Linked DNA regions of Daphnia pulex. The protein of the gene in region 2 purifies or fractionates together with the protein of the main gene of each other region. This does not show direct contact. Links are inferred from orthologs where the notes say so. Each region holds a gene or a part of one and is shown on either strand. Other genes may lie near its edges.

Region 1 (3,688 bases), on a different chromosome or scaffold from region 2:
TTCTACTATGGCAGCAGCTGGAATAGGAAATGCAATATCTGATGTTGCTGGAGTAGGATCTGCTCAGTTCGTCGAGTCTTTTTCTCAAAAACTAGGAATTCCTCAACCCGATCTCGAGCCTCGGCAATATGCTTTTCGATCAACTACTTGGGCCATTAATATCGGACGTGCTATTGGTGTTGCTATAGGATGTGTGCTTGGAATGGTACCACTTTTATTTTTACCTACATCTGACAGCAAACGGCATTCAAAGGACCCTTCATCTCATTTGTGATTGGCATGTCCGATATATTATTAGTCTTATAACCTTACAAATACGTGAACCTAAAATAATTATTTAAACTCATAAAAATGACATTTTGCCGCGCAATGGCAATGGATCCTACTGCGACTTGGCAACTTTAATGTTCGATTCTTATTGTTTTGCACATTTTTGAGCATTCCGATGAACTAACGTGGAGATTCTTCACATAACAATTATTTATATTGCCCACAATTGCTGTTCAATCTTGACCCCATTATTAGAGATATAGCCAAAGAATTTTACATGTTCAATACAATATATTCTAACACTTGGTAACTCATTCACAGAAAACACAAACAAAATGGTATGCATAAGCCAGTTTATTATTAAGGATTCTCAGAGGATATTTAGAAAAACGAGATGGTTCACGCAGGCCTTGAACGCACTTGGTTGAACAGACGATCTTTAATTACTTGAGCCAGCAAACCATGAAGAGCTTCAATGGAAGTTTTTGTAGCATCACGAGCTGCTTTAGCTAGCCTATCTTCCGATCTTCTATCCTCAATGCTGGAGCCACTCACACCAACGCCGCTTCCGACTAGAGCCGCCCGTCCTAGAGAGTTTTCAGCTTGCTCAAGTTTTTCCGAAAGGTCCGATACTTGACCTGTTGTATAATCAGCATTCTAATAAAAAGAGATATTAATACTTTTTATAACATGATATAACGCTTTGAATATTTGTTCTTACTGTGGTGAGAGATGAAGAACTCAATGTGCTGACCCAGTACTTATTCCATAATGAGTCTAATAGACGGCGATCCAGAGCTGATTTAAAGTAAGAAACCTCAAGGGCATAGTACTGCTTGCAGTGGACACCAAAATCTTCAACCTTATTGAGTGGGATGGTTTGATACTCACTTGGCTCTTCATTTGGGGGTTTGTAACCCTAAGGAAAAATAAAAAGTAAACTACTCTGTACGCTTGATAGAAAAATATATCTGTTCACCTTAGGGTATGTACGGAAGGCACCAAGACACACCTTGCCAGCTGAAATAGTACGAACAGGATCTACAACAATAGCAACAAAGGGTTCCTGGAAATTTTGGTTAAGCATCTGGGTAGAAACATCAATTCCTGATAGCCAGCATCCATATCCAGGGTGTGAATGGTACCATCCAATGGCATTTTCAAGACGATTAACCTAATACTCATATTCCAATTAGTTACTTAAAAATGTGATCAAGAGCAAATGTACTTGCCTGTTTAGCTGATTCTATGTAAGCAGTCATGTATTCATAAGCCTGTGACTGAGCATTTACTCTGGTTTCTGTGCCTTCAACTGGCAGGGCAAATGCATCCATTACCACCATTGTGTTTGCATCTACTTTGCCCAAAAGCAATCCCATCACTTCTAGATGTCCTCCAGACCGAGCATGAGTAACCATTTTCAACAATGCCAAGGCTGATATACGGATCTCTTTGAAGAAATGAGGGCTAGAACATAAAACGTAAAGTTGTTAACATGACTTGATACAAAATAAAAAATAATATTACTCTTTATCCCATGGTTTAGCAGCCAACATGTCTTGCTGTTGCTTTCTATCATATCGATAAATTTCGTCAACTGAACTAATATTTTCCACATTATTAGCCATGAGCCAATTATTCAGGGCTATGTTAGATTGTGAACTCATCTTGGATGTGGAACACACAACCAATTTTACTTGAAACCTCTTTTTGCAAAAGACACTCTAAAGTCCAAATGGGGAAATTCGAACGAGGTATACCAGTGCTGAATATATCAAATCCAAACGTACAGCCGGAAACTAAATCTCATCGACTGTTGATGTCGTCTACGAGACTACGACCTACGGGTCTTGTTTTGCCTTTGGCATACTGGGAGCTGCTGGGAGAATGAAGAGGTAAAATGCGGGTCGCGGCGGTGGTAGGAACAAAGTAAAACGTAGGATTTCAGCCTCAGGGATGGATTGGACGACTGCGATTGCCTAGTCTGCTACGACTGCTACTTCAGTACTTCTGACTTCTCCTACTCCATTAGTCCATTGTCCATTGCCTCACCACTAAATCCCTATCTACTCTTTTTCCCACGTTTTACTATTTCTTACCGTGGAGTTGCCGATGCCCGATAAACAAATTCAAACTTGTTTCCAAACATGCTTTCGTTTCGAGTGTGGCAAATTAAACATAACCGTAGGAAAATACCTTGGAAATATTCATTATCTAGTTTAAATATTCTTCATAATTATAGAATACATTTTTCAACAAAAAGCCAATGCAAAGAAGAAGTATCTATTTCAAACAAATGTGTTACTATTAATCCGTGTGGTATACAAATGTTATCAAGATCTATCCATCGACAGATATTCGAAAAAGAAAACAACAATTCTGTATCTAAAGAAACGCTGTTAAAAATTCAGCAGCATTTATCAATTCACCATCTTTATGGCAAATCACCAAGTAAACTCCCAGATATTGATTTGAAGCTCCCAACTTTATTAGGAAAAAACATAGCAGAACACTTTGAAAAAATTGCTGAAAAACAATGTGGAAGTTACCGTAATAAATTGTTAGATTTGACATCACATTGCATTCCAGACATCCCTCAAGTCTGGAACTTTGCACCTGGATGGACAAGATACAACCAAAATGGAGAGATGGATCTAGTTCATTTTCCAGAAGAGGATGCATATGTCTTTGATGTGGAAGTCTGTGTGAAAGAGGGCCATTTGCCAACCCTTGCAACTGCAGTTTCAAAAAACTACTGGTACTCATGGTGTAGTAATCAGCTGTTTACTGAAAATAAGGTTTATTTTTATTTTTCTTAATACTTTTTTCACCCTATATCAATGCTTTATTATCCTACTTGACAGGTGCAAAGTTCAATTTTGAAGGATATGGAAAGTATTTATGAATTAAAGGACTTGATCAACTTGGAATCAAAAACGGAACAAGACCGTCTCCCTCTCAAAGATCAAAAAGAGCGTATCGTTATAGGACATAATGTAAGTTATGACCGTTCGCGAATAAAAGAGCAGTATTTCATCGATGGCACCAAAGTTCGATTTTTTGATACGATGGCTTTGCACATAGCGATCAGTGGCATCACGAGTTTTCAAAGAAACATGCTCCTTGCCGCAAAATCTGGTACCCCTATTGATCGTTCTCTGAAAAATCCCCAGTACTGTAATGGCAAGTCAAGAAAAACGGAAGAAATTCTAGAGTGGCAAAATGTCAGCTCATTTAACGGTTTAAATGATGTGCACAAACTTTATTGCGGAGGATTAGGTTTAGATAAAGAGAAGCGAAACATCTTTGTAACTGGTTCTCTAACAGATATTAAAGACGATTTTCAGCAATTAGTAACTTACTGTGCACGAGATTGTCAAGCAACTTACCGAATACTTTGTGTTCTTCTCCCCGAGTT
Region 2 (4,280 bases):
ATCTTGCAACACTGGTTCTCTCATGAGAACCTGAGACAGAATTTGGGTTGATATTAATTTACAAAATAAGAAATTATTTTTTATGATTTACCTGCAATTGACCGCTGGTGAACAAGGGTAGTTTACCCATGATTTGGCGAGCATTTTCGCTGCGTGCAAGACCTAACAAGGCCTTACAGGCTAAAGCGCGAATCGAGTCAGCATCCGTAATGGGTGTTTTAACAGATAGAAGGTCCATTAACACCATGATTCCATTGTGGGATCGTACACACTCCCAAACTTGGTTGAGAACCTCTTCGCTCGTTCGACTAGCCTATACAAAGCACAATGCGTAAATACATAAATTCTACAATAAGAAAATATCATTGAAATTACCACGCTGCGTCTTTTGGCACTGCCATTAAATCTACCGACAGAACCTCCAACTCGATGGACGGGAGCACAAACGCAGTGAATGAGTACGCAAAGAGCGGCACGCTGAACTTCGGGGTCAGCTACAATGTCTCCTTCAGCTGCTCCAAGTAGAATATTAATGCCTACAGCATTGGCGTCATCCGGAATTTGAATACGATCACAAAATAGCATCTGAACTCTGAAAGAAACAGAACAAACGGCTAAAACATCCTGCAAAATAAAATAAAATATATTTAATAATTTAACTTTAAGAATATATTTAATTTCTTTACCAAAGCGCTGCGAACAGTCTCGGCACGTCCGGTAAAATTCCATAGGTAGGATATTGCAATAACTTGTAGAAGCAGAGGGATACCCCCGAGGCTAACAAATTCATTGACGGGTGACCAACTTGCCCGAAACGGAAGCAGTTCTTGAGCAGTGGTGATTAGATCGATAATTTGATCTGCATTAAGCTTGATTGCTTTGTAGGGAGGTGTTGACGGATGGGGAGAACCACCCATTTCACGAACTCTGATCCGTTGAAGATGTTCAACTTTCCCAGCCAGATGAATTTCAAAGTATCGTTTTAGCGCCGCACAGACGTGTCGAACGGTTTGGCGTGCAGCATGAGATTCGTCATCATCCAACAAATCACTTGCATCTTCCATTGAAAGTATTGACAAAGTGCTGATCATATTGTACAACCGGCGAAGACCATCCTGGGCGTCAAACTGTTCCAAAATAATGCGGAACTGAAACGATGTCCCAAAGAACATGGTAGCGTGACAACGTCCAGATTCGTGCGAACACTCCAGTAGCCAAAGAGCATATCGGACTAGCTCTTGAATGACGTGATCTGGTAAGAGACAGACTCGCTCCATGGCATCTTCGCAATACGCAATGTAATAAAGACACATGGCAACTCCAGTTGCAGCAATGCTCGGCCGTGGAATTTCAAGTAAGCGATGCAATCCCTGATGATGAATAAACTCGATGGCAAATTTTTTGTGACAAAGCAGTGCTCCGAGATATTTAAGTGCTTCGAACGATAAACGCGAATCTTGGGTCTCGTCAAAGTCGATGTAGTTAAGAATAAGGTCGAGCGCCTTTTGCTCGAACATGTGAACTAGTAACTCTTGATATTCACCCATGGGTGTTAAATATCGCAAGATTAAGATTTGCCGAGTTGAGTCCGTCAATGGATGCATTTGATACGTTCCTATAAATAAAGTAAGAAGTGTTAGTTTTTTAACTTTACAGACACACTTGTTGCATGGAGAATAATCTTTTACCGATGACGTATGATTCCATTTCGGCCCAAGACGAGTTGCTAGAATCATTCATAGCTGATCCATTCAGAGATGCATTTCCACTTTTTCTCTCTTTGGAACCTTTAATCCTGCCTTGAAATTTCTTTGCTTTGTTATTCTTTGGCAATTTTCCTTTATCGGAGGCTCCATCGGCCGGTTCTGGTCCAGGCATTAATTCAGCATCTTCATCCTTTGGGACCTTTGAACTGGAAGATGCTCGACTCTTACTACTCGCCGTATTCTTTGGGGTTTTGCTCGAGGTACTCGGTTGGTCGCTTGAAAATTTTGAAAATCTTTTGATTTTTCCGAGTTCGTCATTTTTCTTTTCTTCGGCACATCTCTTTTGGATTTCCCATAACCTTTTCAACATTAACGGTGCTAGATGAGCGTTTAACTCACGAAAGTTAGCAGCCAAGTCTTGTAGTTCCATCGCAGCAGCTAGCAAACCAGTAGCGTAGCTTTGAAGTGGTTCTGGACCTTTTTCTGCCCAACTAAAAAGTCTGTTGATCAATCCTTCTGTGTCTTGAAACACCACAGATACTTCTAAGCCTGGCATTAAATCTAGAACAAGACGAGCTGCAGCTGTATTGAGTTCCCTTGAATCTCTGGTAGAAATGCCTAATCTGGTCCAGTAAGTGTCACGTAAATAGTCTCCAACTAACTAATATTAAGAAAAATGAAAAAATAGCATTTATATTTAGAATGAAGATCAAGGCCAAGTAAATGAAAATAATACTTTTTGCATAAAAATTTCCTTCTTGAATATTATTTTAAGCATGTGTCCAAAGCTGCAATTTGGATTCCTAGAAGGGTTACGATCATCAAAAGGATCTGGATCCATTTTTAGGTAATTTTCTGTTTCTGTTTCCAAAAGTTCAGCCAGTCTTGAAAACAAAAATTAACATGATTAAGAAAAAAAAAATCTTGCAAAAAAACAAATAACACATACCTAGAAAGATAGGGAACAGGATCAAATGTTGGTGCTACATGATGTTCCTCAAATAACCTCAAAATAGCACTGACATCTGACATTTCAGTCAGATTTACGGTGTCGTTCGCCATACTGGATGACTTAAATGTAAATAAGAACAAATTAGCTGAAACTTATCGACGCCAAAATGAAACACAAAAGGACGTTTTTGGAACCCAATCACAATTTCACAACACGAGTAGAATAACTTCAATGGGTCACAAATCTTCACCATAAGTTAAAAAAAAACTATTGCATTATAAACAACAAAAACTCACCTTCGAACTGTTACGTCTATCTGAAACTACAACTTCCCTTATTAAAATTAAGTTTCTTTGAAATTGCTGCAGAAGTGTGCACCACGTTCTGTGTAATTTCTATGTGCAGACTTGAGAAAAAAACGTTGTCAGATTAATATTTTGGAAAATTCTTGCGAATTCCATTGTTTGCTTGTTTGAGGAAGTTAGACCTCCAGAATACAGATTTAAATGATAAAATTATAGCTAAAATATTTTTAAAATTTCTAGCAAATTTTCATATTACAAATTGAATGATATTTCTCACAATTGGATTTTTCAATAAACTTGACAACAATAGCTTTTCTTATGGTTACCTAGCGTGCTTAAAAAACTGTGTCTGCTTTTGTCGTCCTTTTTGTGAATCTTTGTGGACGTTTTTTTTTTACGATTGTTATGTGACATTTTCTTCAAATATTTTGTGGTTTGAACTTTGAAAGTTACTCACATTCTTGTCGTAAGTGTTGACACGTGTCGGATCAAAACGTCGGGCATAAGAGGAATAAAGTAAAAATGGCTGATGTTTTGGATATCTTGGAGCTAGGGAGACCGGGAACTCCAGAAGTGACGAAAGAAAGTATTATGGGAACGCAAAAACCGAAACCTAAATACAAACCTAAAAATGAAGTTTTACGTAAACCTGAGGGAATGGCACGAGAACTTTTCAATCTTTTGGTCAATGATAGTAAAGATGCAGCTCCTCTATTTCCAACTGACACAGGTAACAACTTTGTCTGTCTGCAATTTGTGTGCTTCCAGTAAGGGAAAGAAATATTTGTATGCCAAAGATTTCATAAATATTTCCAATCAGGTAAAGGATACAAGCAAGCAAAAGCTCATTTAGGTGTCCGTAAAGTGAGACCTTGGAAGTGGATGCCCTTTACTAACCCAGCACGGAAAGATGGAGCTGTATTTCACCATTGGCGTAGAGCTGCAGATGAAGGGAAAGAGTATCCATTTGCTAAATTTAACAAGGTTGATTTCCATCTTTTTTAATTGATTTGAAAATTTCTTTTATATAAAAATATTTTTTTTTAGCAAGTCCATATATTTTCTTACACTGATCAAGAATATCAATTACTACAACTTGATAATTGGACAAAGCAAGAAACAGATCATTTGTTTGACCTCTGTCGGCAATTTGATCTTCGTTTCACCGTTATTCAGGACCGCTGGGATAGTACACGATTCTCAAAAAGGTCAATCGAAGACTTGAAGGAGAGATATTATGATATCTGCAACATATTAAACAAGGTAAAGGATATTTGTGTCTGTGTTACCTAGTAAAAAAATAACTGTATATTTTTT

The links.
Region 1: the proteins of DDB1- and CUL4-associated factor 1-like (region 2) and COP9 signalosome complex subunit 5-like purify together in Homo sapiens (affinity purification with mass spectrometry; 8 studies listed by BioGRID and IntAct, with this or other methods). This does not show direct contact. The link is inferred for Daphnia pulex from reciprocal best matches to the Homo sapiens genes DCAF1 and COPS5.

What each region holds. Positions count from the first base shown.
Region 1 is NC_060026.1:5,023,570-5,027,257, forward strand, and holds COP9 signalosome complex subunit 5-like, read right to left. Parts: upstream 2,006-3,688; 5' UTR 1,938-2,005; coding exon 1,798-1,937; intron 1,738-1,797; coding exon 1,503-1,737; intron 1,445-1,502; coding exon 1,250-1,444; intron 1,190-1,249; coding exon 992-1,189; intron 928-991; coding exon 670-927; 3' UTR 610-669; downstream 1-609. Other genes in the region: transmembrane protein 65-like, read left to right, coding at 1-274. UniProt on the Homo sapiens protein: Probable protease subunit of the COP9 signalosome complex (CSN), a complex involved in various cellular and developmental processes.
Region 2 is NC_060022.1:4,447,349-4,451,628, reverse strand, and holds the start of DDB1- and CUL4-associated factor 1-like, read right to left. Parts: upstream 3,084-4,280; 5' UTR 2,955-3,083; intron 2,778-2,954; 5' UTR 2,769-2,777; coding exon 2,656-2,768; intron 2,591-2,655; coding exon 2,443-2,590; intron 2,368-2,442; coding exon 1,689-2,367; intron 1,616-1,688; coding exon 687-1,615; intron 625-686; coding exon 376-624; intron 314-375; coding exon 92-313; intron 31-91; coding exon 1-30. Other genes in the region: mRNA export factor GLE1-like, read left to right, coding at 3,486-3,693, 3,784-3,947, 4,011-4,226. UniProt on the Homo sapiens protein: Acts both as a substrate recognition component of E3 ubiquitin-protein ligase complexes and as an atypical serine/threonine-protein kinase, playing key roles in various processes such as cell cycle, telomerase regulation and histone modification.